Linked DNA regions of Drosophila melanogaster. The protein of the gene in region 1 purifies or fractionates together with the protein of each later gene. This does not show direct contact. Each region holds a gene or a part of one and is shown on either strand. Other genes may lie near its edges.

The links.
Region 2: the proteins of Dip-B (region 1) and CG18518 purify together in Drosophila melanogaster (affinity purification with mass spectrometry, with the first as the bait; one large-scale study listed by BioGRID). This does not show direct contact.
Region 3: the proteins of Dip-B (region 1) and CG5445 purify together in Drosophila melanogaster (affinity purification with mass spectrometry, with the first as the bait; one large-scale study listed by BioGRID). This does not show direct contact.

Annotation. Positions count from the first base shown.
Region 1 is NT_033777.3:13,780,609-13,786,576, forward strand, and holds Dip-B (dipeptidase B), read left to right. Parts: upstream 1-1,679; 5' UTR 1,680-1,843; intron 1,844-2,031; exon of another isoform or gene 2,032-2,086; 5' UTR 2,087-2,219; coding exon 2,220-2,233; intron 2,234-3,208; coding exon 3,209-3,485; intron 3,486-3,552; coding exon 3,553-3,651; intron 3,652-3,708; coding exon 3,709-4,845; 3' UTR 4,846-5,068; downstream 5,069-5,968. Other genes in the region: CG9288 (uncharacterized protein), read left to right, coding at 1-60; CG9286 (uncharacterized protein), read left to right, coding at 446-568, 630-756, 816-1,459.
Region 2 is NT_033779.5:15,833,992-15,837,887, reverse strand, and holds CG18518 (uncharacterized protein), read left to right. Parts: upstream 1-2,229; 5' UTR 2,230-2,279; coding exon 2,280-3,278; 3' UTR 3,279-3,319; downstream 3,320-3,896.
Region 3 is NC_004354.4:17,280,163-17,285,572, reverse strand, and holds the start of CG5445 (uncharacterized protein), read right to left. Parts: upstream 3,078-5,410; 5' UTR 2,946-3,077; coding exon of another isoform or gene 2,880-2,945; 5' UTR 2,729-2,879; intron 2,670-2,728; 5' UTR 2,598-2,669; intron 1,812-2,597; exon of another isoform or gene 1,759-1,811; coding exon of another isoform or gene 1,204-1,758; intron 1,142-1,203; coding exon of another isoform or gene 1,100-1,141; exon of another isoform or gene 1,073-1,099; intron 1-1,072. Other genes in the region: CG8661 (uncharacterized protein), read left to right, coding at 1,100-1,141, 1,204-1,758; CG8664 (uncharacterized protein), read left to right, coding at 2,880-2,945, 3,184-3,762; f (forked), read right to left, coding at 5,173-5,410.

The DNA.
Region 1 (5,968 bases):
CCTCAAATTGAGTCCACCGGGGACCACGCTCAAAACAAAAATAAGGAGATTCAGGCGTGATTTTGACCCTTGTTTTGTTGTGCTTCTTCTATAAGGCCTTTGTATTTTAAATTAATGATTCATACATATATTATATTGCTCAAAGTCAATGAGGACTTAAATAATAATAATTTTGACAGTAAACCACAAATAATATTTTCTGAAACTTGTGAATTTTGTTAATACTTATGGTCAAATGTAATGTCGGGTCTACTATTTAATTTCCAGTAAATTTTATTTCTTAACAGCCTGTTAACTCCGGTGCATTTACAGAACTCTGCCCACTTAACAGCACGCTCCGTAATAGTTGGCAACTCAATGCAACACGTGTGGACGATAAACAGCTGTTCGGGCGGCAATTTAGTGGAAGCGAAACAAAACCAAATTCGTTAACTAAATCTTAAAAATGTCAGCTAATAAGCAAAAGAAATTGAGTACCATGGAGGTGGACCCCAACGAGGATGTCTCCAGTTCCAGCGAGGATGATGACGACGACGAACCGCATCCAGATGCCTATAAGGGAAACGAGGTAATCTAAGTGCCTCCAAAATATGAAAAGCAAATGTGTTTCAAAATTAATATCCGGCTAGGAGGTGCAAATCGACTTTGAGGGACGAGCTCCAGTAGATCCCGATGCCCAGGGAATCTCTCAACTCCTGCAGCGACTATTCCTTCGTGCCCACATCAACTGCAACCAAATGGCGGATTTGATCATAGGTGAGCACTCCAAGGTACTATCTTGATCTATCTATCAGCACAACTTTTTTTGTTTCCAGCCCAAAATTTTATAGGCAGTGTGATCTGCCAGTGCGACGACGAGGGCACCGAAAGCGAAACGGAGGACGACAACATGGTCGAGGATGGCACCATCTTTGGAATCACCTCTGTGCTGAACCTGACCGCCAAAAAGGATCAGCCCAGCATCGCCCAGTTAAGGACCTACATACTGGATCGCGCCAAGACGCACGCTTCTCCGGAGGTTCAGCAGCAGTTGAAGGAGATTCTAGACAGCGAGCAGCGCCATGTGGGATTCTTGATCAACGAGCGCTTTATCAATATCCCTGCCCAGATCTCCGTGCCACTGCTGCAGAGTTTGCAGCAAGAAATCGAAGCCGCCAAGGCCAAGAAAATGAAATACGACTTTGGCACTCTGCTGCTGCTGGTTAAGTTCTACAGGAAAGAGTCGAAGAAGGGCAAACCGGGCGAGGACGTGTACACCAACGCTGAGGATGAGTTGCTTTCGGATCGGGCTAAGTTCTCCTTCGAGTATTCCATGGCCTCTGAAACCGATTCGGGCATGTCTGGCGATTGGCTGGAAGGCGATGCCGTGATGACGCCCTACAGGAAACTCCTGGTCCTGGAGGCCAAAAAACTTCCGCAGCTTATTGACGATATACAACGCTTTATTAATGGCGAATAAATATTTTTTACATTTAAAACTGCTGTGTTATTTGGCCTTAATATAACACCCCGACAAATATCTAATTAAGAAGTAATAATGTCCGGTCTCTAACGACCGATAAGCTTCTATTTCTTTGTAGTCCCATACAAAGAGTATCAAAAATTCGAACCGAAAGCTTTCCACATCCTTTATGACAATTGGCAACGCGGGCAAACCACAAACAGCTGTCACTTGGCCGGCATTTGAAAGCTTCGCACATGCCGGCTGGTCTACTGTGAAAAAAAAACCTGGTTGCCATTCCTTTGTTTTTTGCCACTGGTTAGTTTTGGCCCAGAAACTGCATCCACCGTGGACGTGACTGGCAAGAGGAACCCACAATAACAATTCCGAAGACCGAGCGACGTGAGTAGACTTTGCCTTTATTGTTTACAAGTTATATCCGAGTTCTAGAATTACGTACATAGCGAGCATACTGGCGATTATTCATCGCTCGTGCGATTTGTTTTCATTCGAAAACGCAAGTAGCAATTAAAAAAAAAAAACCTAAAGCCCGGCTCGCTAGTAAAATGTATAAAAAGCTTGGCCACCCAGCCAGAACATTGCAAATCGTCGCGGAGAGCTATCACAATCGCTCCTTATCGCCAGCTTTCCGTTCCAGATCCCGCTCCCAAGTTTCCAGTTTCCAGCTGCAGCGCTTTGTTCCCATCAGGGAGGTTCAGTGACGCCCCACTTGCCGATCAACCAAGTCGCGTGAGCTGCCTGCGAAAAAGTACTCATCATGGGTATCGAAAAGTGAGTATTTATTACCAACAGTTATTAGAGGGTGTGTTTTAAGTTAGCGCGGATCAGTTATCTAGCCACCGCTTAGCGACCGATTGGAAAAGCTCTCAAAGATTCGCCATCTTTTACAGTGAGGGTTAGTCGCTTAGCATCCATCAATTGCTATCTTATTTACCTTTCCCATAATTCCAAAACGAAATTAGAATGTTTTTAGTACTGCATATCTCAGCGTTTATCAGTTTTAATTAGTTGCCGGCAAGGAATAGATGTCATGAAAATTCCAAACTTTATCTTTTCCCAAAATAAAAACAATGTTTGGCGAAATACTGTATAAAAGTTAAAGGGGGGAGGTCACTTAATTTTATCATTATTACTTAGATAACGAGTTCTTGCTACTTCTGGAAACAGATATATATAGATCAACTTTTATTGTTTGATATGGGGCACTTCAAAAGATAACACAATTAAATGGTCAGCGACATAGGATTATTCTCCAAAATATTATAGACCCAGTTACCTAAGGATTGGTATTTAGTAGAAACACTTGAATAAGATTACAAATATTCTAAATAAGTACTTTAACACCATTTGTGCTAATACTTGGTACACTTGTTTCTAAATTGGAAATCGGTTTGTGATTATGGTCATTTCGAAAGCTTATCGCGATTCTTTATAGCACTTCGAGTTAAGATAAGCCCAGCGCCAGGAATGAGGGTAAACGAAAGGGGAACACACTGAAACATGGCCATGGTTGCTCCTAATACAGTGGGGACATTTTCTTTTGAAATAATAAATTGAAATACAAAGGCAACAGGCTGTTATGCAATATGAACGACTGCATCAGTTAATAAAGCAAATGTGACGTGATAAAATTCAATTCAATTAAACGCTATTGCACATTTAGTTGACACCCAGAAATGTTTCTTAATGAATACCAATAACGATTCCGTTGCGCACTTTAACTCTACTCTACGTGTGCCCCTCCAGAATTCTACCATGCACCCTCCGGCTGAACAAGCTGATGAGTCTGGCCGGCAACGACTGCCTGTGCATCATCGATCGCAATGCGGTTCCCAATGAACTGAAGGCCACCTTCGAGGAGCACCGCAAATTCGACAAGTCCTTCGACAGCAGCATATCCTGCTTTAAGGTGCCCAACGTGGATCAACCTGTGGTCTATGCCCCCGTCTCCGAGCTCACCGACTACGACGATGTGAGGAGCTACCAGGAGGCGGCCAAGCGGTCCATGGAGAAGGTTCTCAAGGTGGGTTTTTTTTTTCTATACATATTGTGTGAATTATGAAAGAAAATGTATATGTATTCTTTGCCAGGCTGGATTCCACACGCCGTTGCTGTTTGTGCCCAAGGTTAAGCGCTTCCCCGAGGTCGAACTCTGCACCGTTCTGGGAGCTCTGGAGCAGCTTTATGTGGTAATATGGATTATGTTTACTTTTATTTCAATCAATGTGCTAAAACACGTTTTTTAGCCCATTCAATTGCGCGAGGCAGGAACTTTGAAGGACCCCCGTGTGACCACGCTCAGTGTCCAGATCGATGATCCAAGGGCCGAAGCTATTTTCCAGGAAGCTCTCATTCTGGAGGCCGGTCGCTTTGTGGCCCGCGACATCGGAGTTGGGGACCCGGAGCGCATGACGCCCATCCAGGTGGAGAAGTACATCAAGCCGTTGTTCGACAAGCTCAACGTGAATGTGATCAGTGACACCCAGGTGTTGCAGAAGGAGTATCCCCTGTTTGCCGCCGTAAACCGGGCTGCTGATGCAGTGGAGCGTCATCGTGGTCGCATCATTTTCCTGGAGTACAAGCCTCCAAAGCCGGCGAGAAAAACTCTGATGCTGGTCGGCAAGGGTGTTACCTATGACACCGGTGGTGCTGACATCAAGGCCGGTGGTGTGATGGCCGGTATGTCGCGCGACAAGTGTGGAGCGGCTGCTGTCGCTGGATTCATGCAGGTGGTCAGTCAACTGCAACCGGATGATATCCATGTTGTGGCTGCCCTGTGCATGGTGCGCAATTCCGTGGGCGAGGAGTGCTACGTGGCCGATGAGGTTATCACCTCGCGAGCTGGTCTTCATGTGAGGATTGGAAATACTGATGCCGAGGGTCGCATGTGCATGACCGATGCCCTGTGCCGCATGAAGGAGTTGGTCGTGGAGCAGAATCTCCCGGATCCGCATCTTTTCACCATTGCCACCTTGACTGGTCACGCCTTCATCTCGGCAGGTGAGGGTCAGTCGATTGCCATCGATAACAGCGTGGCCCATCGGGAGGATCACGCCAGAAGACTGCAGGCTGCTGGACAGGCCTTCGGAGAGCCCTTCGAAGTGTCCATTCTCCGTCCCAGTGACTTCTCTTTTAACGCTGGAAAGGTGATTGGCGAGGATTTGGTGCAGGCCAATAATGCCCCGTCGGTGAGGACTCCTCGCGGTCACCAGGTGCCCGCCGCCTTTATGATTAAGGCTTCTGGACTGGACAAACACGGGTTGGATTCAATGCTGCCCATTAAGTACACCCATATTGATATCGCCGGCAGTGCCGGTGAGCACCCAGCGATGCCCACAGCTGCCCCTCTTGTTTCCCTGGTGAAGACCCATCTGCAGAAGTAAATCATGTCCACCTAATATTCAGGAGGATGTGTACACGATCACCACAAACAGTACTTATACACCCACGTGCTTAGCTAACCAACAATATTATCCTACTAACTGCATCACTGTTTTTTAATAAAGGCAAAACCGAGTTCAGATTGTATTCATAAATGTATGTCACTAATTTGGTAATCGTTTACAAATAAATGTGAAAATGATTTGTTTTTTTCCTTAAGCTTACAAAGCAAATATCTCATTATATTCATCAACATGGAAATATAAACATTATATCATCCCATTATAGAGAATAACCACCCTACATATATTTGTTAAGTATACAAGAAAGCCGCGTGGGTATTCGGTCTTTTTTATTTCTTTTTTATTATTACTGCATTTCCCAGCTGCATTGTTTGCATAATTGGCGGGTGCCCTGCATTTCGAGCTCTTGTTGGCCATCTACGGTATGGCTCGTACTCCTGCTCTTCCCCTTTCGCAGCCTTTTCTCTTCAGCTTTGCAGCGCCTTCTTTTTTTGTAGCTTGGCCCACAGCCTAGAACCCGTTAGTCGCTTCTTGGCCATGCTCTTCGCTTTGGGCCCCGTTCCCGGGAGCTTGGCCCAGCAACTTGGCGTGGATTGGCTTGGTTGGGGGATGGGGATGTGGATGGGGCCCGCTTGTCAGCTGTCGCATGTGTCTTGGTACCGTTATTGCCTGGCTTTGGAAACTCGGTCAAGAGTGTCTCATTCATGCTGTGATTGCATAATATACCGTTGGCTCCCGTTGGCCTTCTTCTGGCTTCTGACTGCGGCCTCTTCCCGTTCTTGGCCGTTCTCCCGTACCAATACCAACTTGGTTCCAACCTCTTTCTCCATCTGCGATGGGTGCGCTTCTGGGTAATTTATTGACAGTCACACTGGCCACTTTTGGTCATCTGGCCAAGTCGGAACACTTGGACTCTGACCGGGCTAACGGTACTTATTATTGATGAACGCAAAAGTCTTTTTCGTTGACTTGTCTCCCATTTACAATCCGTTAGTGTGAATTTATTGCCAAGGCGGCACGAACCAAGAAGAAGGCCTCAGCAGCAACAGAAGTGGGAGAAAAGAGGGAAGATCTCTGGTCTTGGGAGGCTTTCTGGCTTCTT
Region 2 (3,896 bases), on another chromosome or scaffold:
AAGTTTTCTGCACTGACGTTGTTGTAACTGGCTTTGGCTGTTTGTCTTGTCTATTCCATCGGAATGTGTGCCGGAGAAGTTGCTCCCATTTTGTTTGCTTAACTCATTGCCGCTGAAAAGGCCATAGAAATTAGTTAGGTAATTGCGCCGAAAGCTTCACTAAATGTAAAATTGAAATCTTTCATAAAAGCTTAATTCAAAGACATACGTAATTATTATATTTTCTCCACAGTACTTAAAGCCGGAAATCAAAATGCTCTTGTACTATTGTAGTAGTGCACAAAAAACAAGAGACAAGATTGCAAGATGTCAAGATCTAAGCATGGCCTATTGGGAATATCCTCCTGCGAAAATCTGCTGTCGCAAATCGAAAGTGGTAATAGATGTATAATTCATAAAGGTAAACTGGTATTATTAAGAACCGAACGCATTTTAAGATCATAAATCGAGTTCCAAGCATCGATCTACCGCGTCCACTTCAATGTGGCCACTTCAACAGTCTAGAGCAGAGATCTATGATGAACGGAGAGGCGGAAGTGCCATGGATGGCGGCCCTTCTGGATGCTACTAGTCTTCAATAAGCGACTTCTGTCACTGAAAAACTAAACGAATACCAGCTGGCGAATGGGATGCGATAACGAAAAAAGAGCAAGAAAAACATAAGGATGTTTCCATCAGGAAGATTGTGCGACACAACAATGTGGCCCTGTTATTTCTCAAAAAATCGCTCGACCTAACCCACCATATAAACCTGATTTGCCTGCCGCCACCGAATCGCAACTTTATCTATAATCGTTGCATTGTCAGTGGCTGGGGTAAGAAGAACTTCGAGAACATCAATGTTCAGAAGAAAATGTGCCCCTGGTGGACAGATCTAGGTGCCAGAGCGACAAGTTCAAGGAATCTTTGGCAAAAACTTCTATCTCGACCCCAGTCTGATGTGCGCCGGCGGTGAGATTGGCAAGGATGCGTGCAAAGGCGACGAAGGTTCCCCACTGGCCTGTCCCCTCTAAAGCGATCCTAATCGATATGAGCAGGTGGGCATCGTCAACTATGGATTAGTATGTGGCACAGATATTCCTGCTGTTTACACTGATGTTTCGAAAATGCGACCCTGTACTGACTATCAGATCAAATGCTTACCAACCACAAAAAGCAAATATTTATTCCCAACTAGAATAGTGATCCTATTAAAAAGAAATATAAACTTGCCTAATTTAAAAATACGGATATTTTTGAAACGTTTATAAGTAAACATATAATCCCAATATCAACCAACGTGGGATGTTGTATATTAATTAGCTAATACAGCTAGTTCATATAACAAGCTGCGTTCATCTTGCTACTTTCGGCTAATTGTGGACTTGGGCGGGTCGTTTCATTGATTTATGGCTGCTAATTTCAACGCATGGCGCTCAAAGTATTAAATAATAAACTCTATTCCGCCAGCAGGCTCTCGATCCCGCTGTTTTCCAAATCCCCGCCATAACTCCACCCACAACATCATCTTCATCGGGCTCCTGCTGAGCTGCAGTGTTGGTCGAGATGAGGCGCCATGCAATATGAGACCATAGGAAAGGGCTCCCTTTCTGGTCGCCCGGCAGACTTTACAAGTGTTTCCCTCGACTTTATGGGCCAGCTCGGAACTTGGGCGGGAGTTTTCCCGTTCCGTCTGGACGTGTAATGAAATTAAAGGCGTAATGCAATACAGCTGGCAAAGTTTTTGCAGCGGTTATTTCCATGGGTTCTCGTTACTGTTTGCTCTTTTGCCCGCCAGTAGCCGTCGTCGCATCTCCAGACAGTCATTAAATTTAATTAATATCTTCCGTTTTTTACCAGACTGCGGTCTTCAAAAAATTTGATACCGTTTGCTGTTGTTTCTTGTATTGTGTGATGAATTTTTTTCGGGGCATCTCTTTTTTTGGAGATATTCGGAAATATTTTTGGCAAACCTTTTAAATATTATATGCCCCTGAATTACAACCGATAATATTATTTTCTACTCAAATACACATATAAATATGTGAAAAATTCGATTTAAATTACATAAAATTTGTAATTGCGAGAATAAAACTACCATATACACTTTTTTAATACTTGTAATATAAAAGTAAAATTTTATTCTACTTTGAACATTTAACAACCCAATCAATTTAGCCTTGCTTTTTGATTCAGAATAATTTGACGTGACTGTCAGAATTTCGTTTCTTAATTTAGTGTCCCTTGCACATTACAAGCAAACGGTCGTTTTGAGCTAAATAAGTTAAAACAATTAAAAAATGAGTTCCAAAAAGAATATAACTCCACCAAACAATTCAGCCGATAAGGAAACGGATCGCAAAATCCCCGAAGAGTCTCTATCAATCACTAACCATCCGGGGGCCACATCAACGCCAACTTATATGACACGCAAACGGCAGAGGCTTTTATCTCTCCAGATGGATTCTGCATTGTCATTGTCATTGGTGGATCGAGTTCCACAAACATTCGAGGATATTCGTGGACGAAAGGGTATTCGTGATGCCAGTTCTCCAAAAACTGGTAAACTCCCAAGGACTAAAGCCCGGAATATACCGAAAACACCAGCGCGTGTTTCCCCAAGTATAAATCATGGTAGGAATTCTGCTAAGCCAAAGACCCCAGCTAAAAAGAAGACTACGGAGAAAACTCCTGCGAAGACGCCCACAGACACGCCGAAAATATCGCCAAAAAATACGCGACAAATATCGCCGAACAAGTCGCCAAAAACTTTCTCGATGATGCAAAATGTTCCAGCAAAAAAATCACCAATAAAATCATTAATAAAGAAGCCGAAAACGCCAGCAGTGAAATCACCAATTGAACCCATTATATTACCAACAGAGTCCCAATTGAAATCTCCGATAAAGTTATCAATTTCGCCAACGAAATCATCAATGATGTCAACGATTTTGACAAAGCAGTCGGTGAAGTCCGAAAAGAATTCCCCTGAAGCCCATTTCTCTGGAGAAGTAACCAATAAGGAAAATGCCGCTGAAGAAGATATTTCGGAGCCACCTTCAAAACAGCCTCGTCTACATATTTTGCAAGTCAATTTGGGGTCCCCATTCGCAATGACGCACAGCAAAAAACTGAAAGTAATTGCAGTAGATTCCAATGATGAAAATCAGGAAGCAAAAGAAGCACCTCCTGACAATTTAAGCGAAATCAACACAAGTGAGGAAATGAAGTCCTTCGAAATCAAAAATTCTTTTAAAAATGAGATAGAAAAATCGGACAAAAATTGTTTTATTTCGTAAGGTTATCAAAGCTTTACTAAAAATAAATATGATTTGAAGCGAAACAATTTATTTTACTAGTTTTTTTAAGGACGGGGGAATATCAATAGTACACGACCGTTGTTCCTGGATGTTTCTAAATAAAGATTATCAATGCGATGCAGCAGGCCTTAACAACTTATTCCTTTGCCGGTTTCTAGCACTAGCCTGATTGTATAATCTACACTTTTGCAGACAATAAAGTTCTTTCAGCGCACTTTGTAAGCTGGCAAAATGCACAGAAATGGCATTATCACGTTGCACACAGCTAATTTGCAAGCAAAGGACGAGGAGGTGGAATATAGCCATAGACGGGAACGGGGTACAAAAAGATCGGCCAAAGAGAAAAGAAAACTGAATTATATTTGCACAATAAACTTGGCAGCCGCCGTCTCTCTATATTATTATTCTGCCAGTTGTTTGTTTGTAGTTGTGTGTTCTCTTGTATCTGTGGGCAATAGTAATAAGATGCAAGCACACCAAGCATTCCTTTTACACAATTTTCCTTTCCCGCCCGCCGAATGACACTCAAGAAAATAAAAGCCACTGTCAAATTAAATATAATATTTATGGTAAAACACAAAGGCATTATTAGAAAAA
Region 3 (5,410 bases), on another chromosome or scaffold:
AACTTTTACCGAAACGTTGACAGGTCACAGGTTGTATCATCTGTGTGTTTTTTTTTTTAATATGTGATCAATGAGAACATTGATGACTAATGCTATACCGTGCACCTCTTATGTTCGCCAATGAAATTATCGTTTCCTGGAAACAATCAGACGTATTGTAGATATGAAAGGCGAATAAGTTAATGCTAAGCGTGTATAAATCCTTATCGATACGGTCCCCTCTATGAGACGATTTTCGTATTTCGAACCTTCCATCTAATCGGCCAGCTTATCAGATATGGCGCTTCTCACGTGGCTAGCAAATCAAATCGTAGGGCACTTCAATGAAGTCAACTGACTTTTGTCCAGCGATGATGACGACGTAAGACTTGCGGTGAAGCAAACTATGTCATTCATGGGAATCCGTATGTGAAATACGAATCGAATGACCGGCGATTGTAATTGAAACTTGTGAAAATGGTGTGATTAAAGGCCACCGTGCATTTAATCTGCAAATCGCCCTGAGGCAGAAGAGTATAAACAATTTGGCTTGAGTTGGTAGACTTGTCAAAACAGATTTAAATTTAAATATTTTCAATTATTTTATCTTTACCATAATTTTGATAAGTTATAAACTTAAGCCCAAAAGTAGGCAAATACATTTTAATATGTGAAAGTAAAGCTTTGTATGCAGGTAAGTCAGCCCATAAGTATGATTTAAAATCGAACTGTAATTCGATTTGTTGTTATAGCGTTATCAATTGGGTTTTTTGTATTTTATAGATAAATTCGGTGTCCAAATGATCAATTGGCTTAATGCGTTATCAGAGCACCAATGTGACTGGCTCAAGTTCAATATAGTCTTAACCGCTTTTCTTAACACAAAAAAGGTATGCAAAAAACTAGGATATATAAATATCATCAGTACGTATACTACCAATATAATATAATATCCGTGCAATCCTAACATTTAGCTCTAATAATAGAGTTATGAACCTAGATATCTATTATATTTCTGTTTGTACAAGACCTACCTGACCACTAAAGGGTTAAAAAACCAAGCGATATAAAAGGGCCGAATCGGAAACGGTTTTCATAGTTGCTTATAAACAACGACAGCATGAAGTATACCATTCTTATTTTGGCTTTGGGCCTGTTTTGCGTAAGTTTTGCAATGAAAAATACAAATTATTTGCGCAATGGTAGCAAATATTTAAATTCCAGGTAAATGCATTGGTGGCTCCTGTTCCCAGCGCCCTGGACTCTTCGTCAGAACTGGACGATGTGACCGATGGTAGCTTGGAGGTGGAGGACTTTGGCGTGCTGAGTACGACCTACAAATCCCTAAAGATCGCTCTGCGAAGCATCAAGGGACTCAATTGCATAATCAAGTGGGTGGCGGGCATCAAGGACAGTGCGACCCAATTTAACACGGACGTGGTCGTGTGCGGCGTCACCGCCAGCAAGGATGTGACCAAATTGATCAACGCCAACAATAAGATCCTCAGCACTTGCAACGACCTCATCAATCTGAGGTCCAACACTTGCCCCCAAACGGACGACGAGGAGACGAAGGTCTCTGGCAGCTGCTTTGTTAAGACTCTGCGCAAGGTGTGGTCCCTAAAGAAGCAAGTGGACAATGCCATCAAGCTGGCCAAGAAGATCCCGCAAACCGGTCCCAATGCCGTCGCCTGTGTCTCCGATGCCGTCAACACCCTGACCACCTACTACACCGCCTTTCCCCAGAACATCATCAGCTGCTCCAAGCTGACTTCTTAGGGGTTTAGTGCCCGCAATTGATTCGAGCATTCAATAAAAATCCGTGTTATCACAGTTTTTGCTAGTTATTTAATTTTGTTAGAGGAGAGAAAGCCTTTTTATTACTATTCGTAACTAAATTTTTATAACCGTTACTCGTAAAGTAAAAGGAAGCGTTTTCATATAGTCTTGATTAGGATCAATAGCCGAGTCGATCTGGTATATCGTATATATGATATTTTTTATATTTTTATTAGTCTTGCGAATTTCCATCGATTTGCAAAAAGTATTAAGTGGAATATAACAAGTTGCTCTATAACATACCTATATTTGTATATTTGTACAATTTATACAATTTTTAGTCAGAGTAAATTAATAGTAATTCAATTATAATACAAATTTATATTTTATTGAGTACAGAATAGTTAGATAATTGTTTAGTTACTGTTAACCAAATGTCTGCACCCCTAAACGAAAACCAGTGCGAGTGTACTTTCTATCACTATTGAATATTGATAAAAATGGAAGTGTGACAAAAACAATATCTCAACAGATATGATCACCTTAACCTAGGGCCATGAGACAGGTTTGAAGATAAAAGGCTCTCTCTTTGGTATAATTAGTTTTTTAATATACTCGATACTTCTTTTACTGTAATGCTCATGCTTATTTATAAATTAGATTTAAGCCACTTTAAATATTAAAAAGCTGTCACTCAGACGTTGACAACGTAGATAGGTGACTTTTCCAAGGGTTTTGTTTTGTTAAATAAAATACCCATTGATTTCTTTGAGCGATTATGCATCGAATGCATCGCGTCGATATATGGGAGTGCTTGCGGTGGGTGGTGTCGGACTTACCTGAGGAATCCCTGTCCAATCTGGACAATCTGGCTATATGACTATCTCGCTATCTTCCTTTGTGTGTCCACGCTGCATAGATAATGTCAAATTAGTTTCGGACTTTGTGTGGTGGTTTAATTAAAGCATACATATCGCCGGCACATTGGTTTTCCAAAGTGTATGTGCAAATCGAACCTCCGAATCGCCACTTAACTGATATGGCTCCGGCCAATCGTCTATATAAACAAACCCCACGGATCGGTCAGCAAACATTCGCCAGTGAAACCATCCACCAGTAACATGAAAGTACTCAACGTCTGCCTCTTGGTCGTGGCCTCTGCCAGCTTCCTTCTGGCCACAGCGAACGTAAGTCAGACAACCTTATGAAGAACTACTAGCAAATACAGTCAAGTGCCATCGTTATTAGAGTTTGAAAAAAATCCGAAAAGTGCAGCAAACAAAGATTTAATGAACAGAATCGTCGCTTAAAGCAAATATATTTTGTTCAATTTTTTTTCCGAAGTGCTTTTAAAACGTGTGCTACTTGAAGTCAAATATTTTGACAGTTATTCCAAAATCGAATCGTATTCCTAACTTGTTTTAGGCCAGTGCCGTAGGTGCTTTCGAGGACTTCGAGCCCTACACCGATGCCGAGCTTAAGGATCTCTACGCCGCCGAGTTGATGGCAATGGAGGATGAGTTCATGGGCGTCGAGCAGTTCGGCTTCATTGGATCGTGCCGCAAGATTCTGTGGGCCGGATACAAGGGCATCAACGGCACCAAGTGCATCGTCGAGGAGGTGGCCAATGTGCTGCTCACCTGCACCAACTACGTAGACGACCTGAGCACCTGCACCGGCGATATTCCCAAGGATATCCAGGCCATGCTGAACAATGTCAAGCAAATGATCATCACCAGCAACAAGATCATCAACATGAAGTCCGAGCTGTGCGCCTCCACCTCCAGGAGCGTCGTCTCCTCCACCAAGAGCTTCATGCGTTGCACCCTGAAGGCCTTCTACGCCACCATGTCCCTTGTCCGCCGCATGAACACATTGATCAAGCAGGGCGCAGCCCTGCCCTTCAACACCTCTTCCTGCTACGTCGATGCCACCAAGAAGGTGGTCGACGGCTGCAACGCCTTTGTGCCCAACATCAATACCTGCATAGCCAGCATGACATAAGTTGGTAATAAAACCATGAAATTATGAGCAAAGCAGATGCTTTCTTCCTGATTTGGGAGTTCGGGGTGTGACAACATATCTTATACACCTTTCTAGCCTGTATAGTGTCTCAGATCACGAGATACCGACGGACCGACAAACATGGCTTTTTTTTGCTGTTTCAAACTTTTAAACGAATGTGACACATACAGAGCTTTGGAAATCGATGTGCTCATTATTACTAACTGACTTATTTGACTTTAACCACCTTCAACCTTATGTTCTATACCCATAAAAAAGGATGTTATATGTTCAAAAATCTTAATTCTATTGCCAATAGACAGACTTCCTGGATATTCTGTACTCGATGATTCAAATGATGGGCGCCAGCGGTATCAATGGGTCTGGACTCCAACAAAAGCAACAAATAGAATATGAAGGGAGTAAACACGTTACTCGTAGAGTAAAAAGGTATACTAGATTCGTTGAAAATGTATTGGTCTCCGACCATGTCAAGTATACAATACGTCGATACGTTCCGACCAAAATTCCTTAGCCACACCGAGTTGGTTAGCGCGGTGGCTGGAAATTTTAGGTATAAAAATTGATTTACAAAATTAAGAAAAACTTACCACACCGCCAACGGCAAAGGAAAACATGGGGCCCACGATGCCACGCCCACTCTACCGCCCACAAGCCGCCTAAAACTGCCACGCCCACACTTTTGATCAATTTTTCTTATTTTATTTTCCAATTCCTATCGATATCCCAGAAAAATAATAAAATTTCGCGCTCGCATTCACACTAGCTGAGACACGGTTATATAATTATCGGGGAACTCGACTAAAGCATTCTCTCTTTTGTTTTAAATTATATATATGTATTTATTGTTTCATTCGTTCGCTTTTTCATTCATAGATGTGTTGTATGTATTCGTGTATTTATATTATTAAAAGTAATATTGTTTGAGCCGCGTATATAAAAACAAATAACAATAAAAAATGCTTAACCAATCAATTAAATTAATTCCAGTACTAAATAAATTCAAGCCAAGTCACAAAAAAAAATGTCAAAAAATAGAGAGTATAAGTGATTAAAATACAAAACCGAAATAGAACTTAAGCACAGCAGCTAAGATTAGATATATACGTTTGATTCGCCTTGAGATACTGTACTGCCCACTAGGAATAACAATATTCGTTTTGGCGAAAAAAAAAAAAAATATGGAGGTGCAAAAATGATTATGCATATAGTACAATGTAAGTAGCTAGACCTTAGGCTTAGGTTTTATGCTTTATATTTAGGGTTTTTCTCATTATAATTGCACATGCTTTAAGTTAATCCACAAAAAAAAAAAAAAAAAAAATACACCGCTTAGGAGTCGATTGAAAAATGGATTTAATTTTTTGGGTATGTGTACGTGGATGCAGATCAGATCAGGCTGAGACGGCTGTTGGTCTTGCGCAGCTGGGCGCGCCATGGGATGATGTTATCCTCCTCCTCCTCGGCGCGGCCCTGGCTGCCCTCCGATGGGTCGATGAGCTCCTGACCTCCAATGACGCCAGAATTAGCGTTACCAACGCCACTGCCAATGCCAACTCCGTGCTCCTGATCCTGATCAGCTCCCTTGGGATCGACATGGTTCTCCTTGTTGCCCAACTGGAGTTGC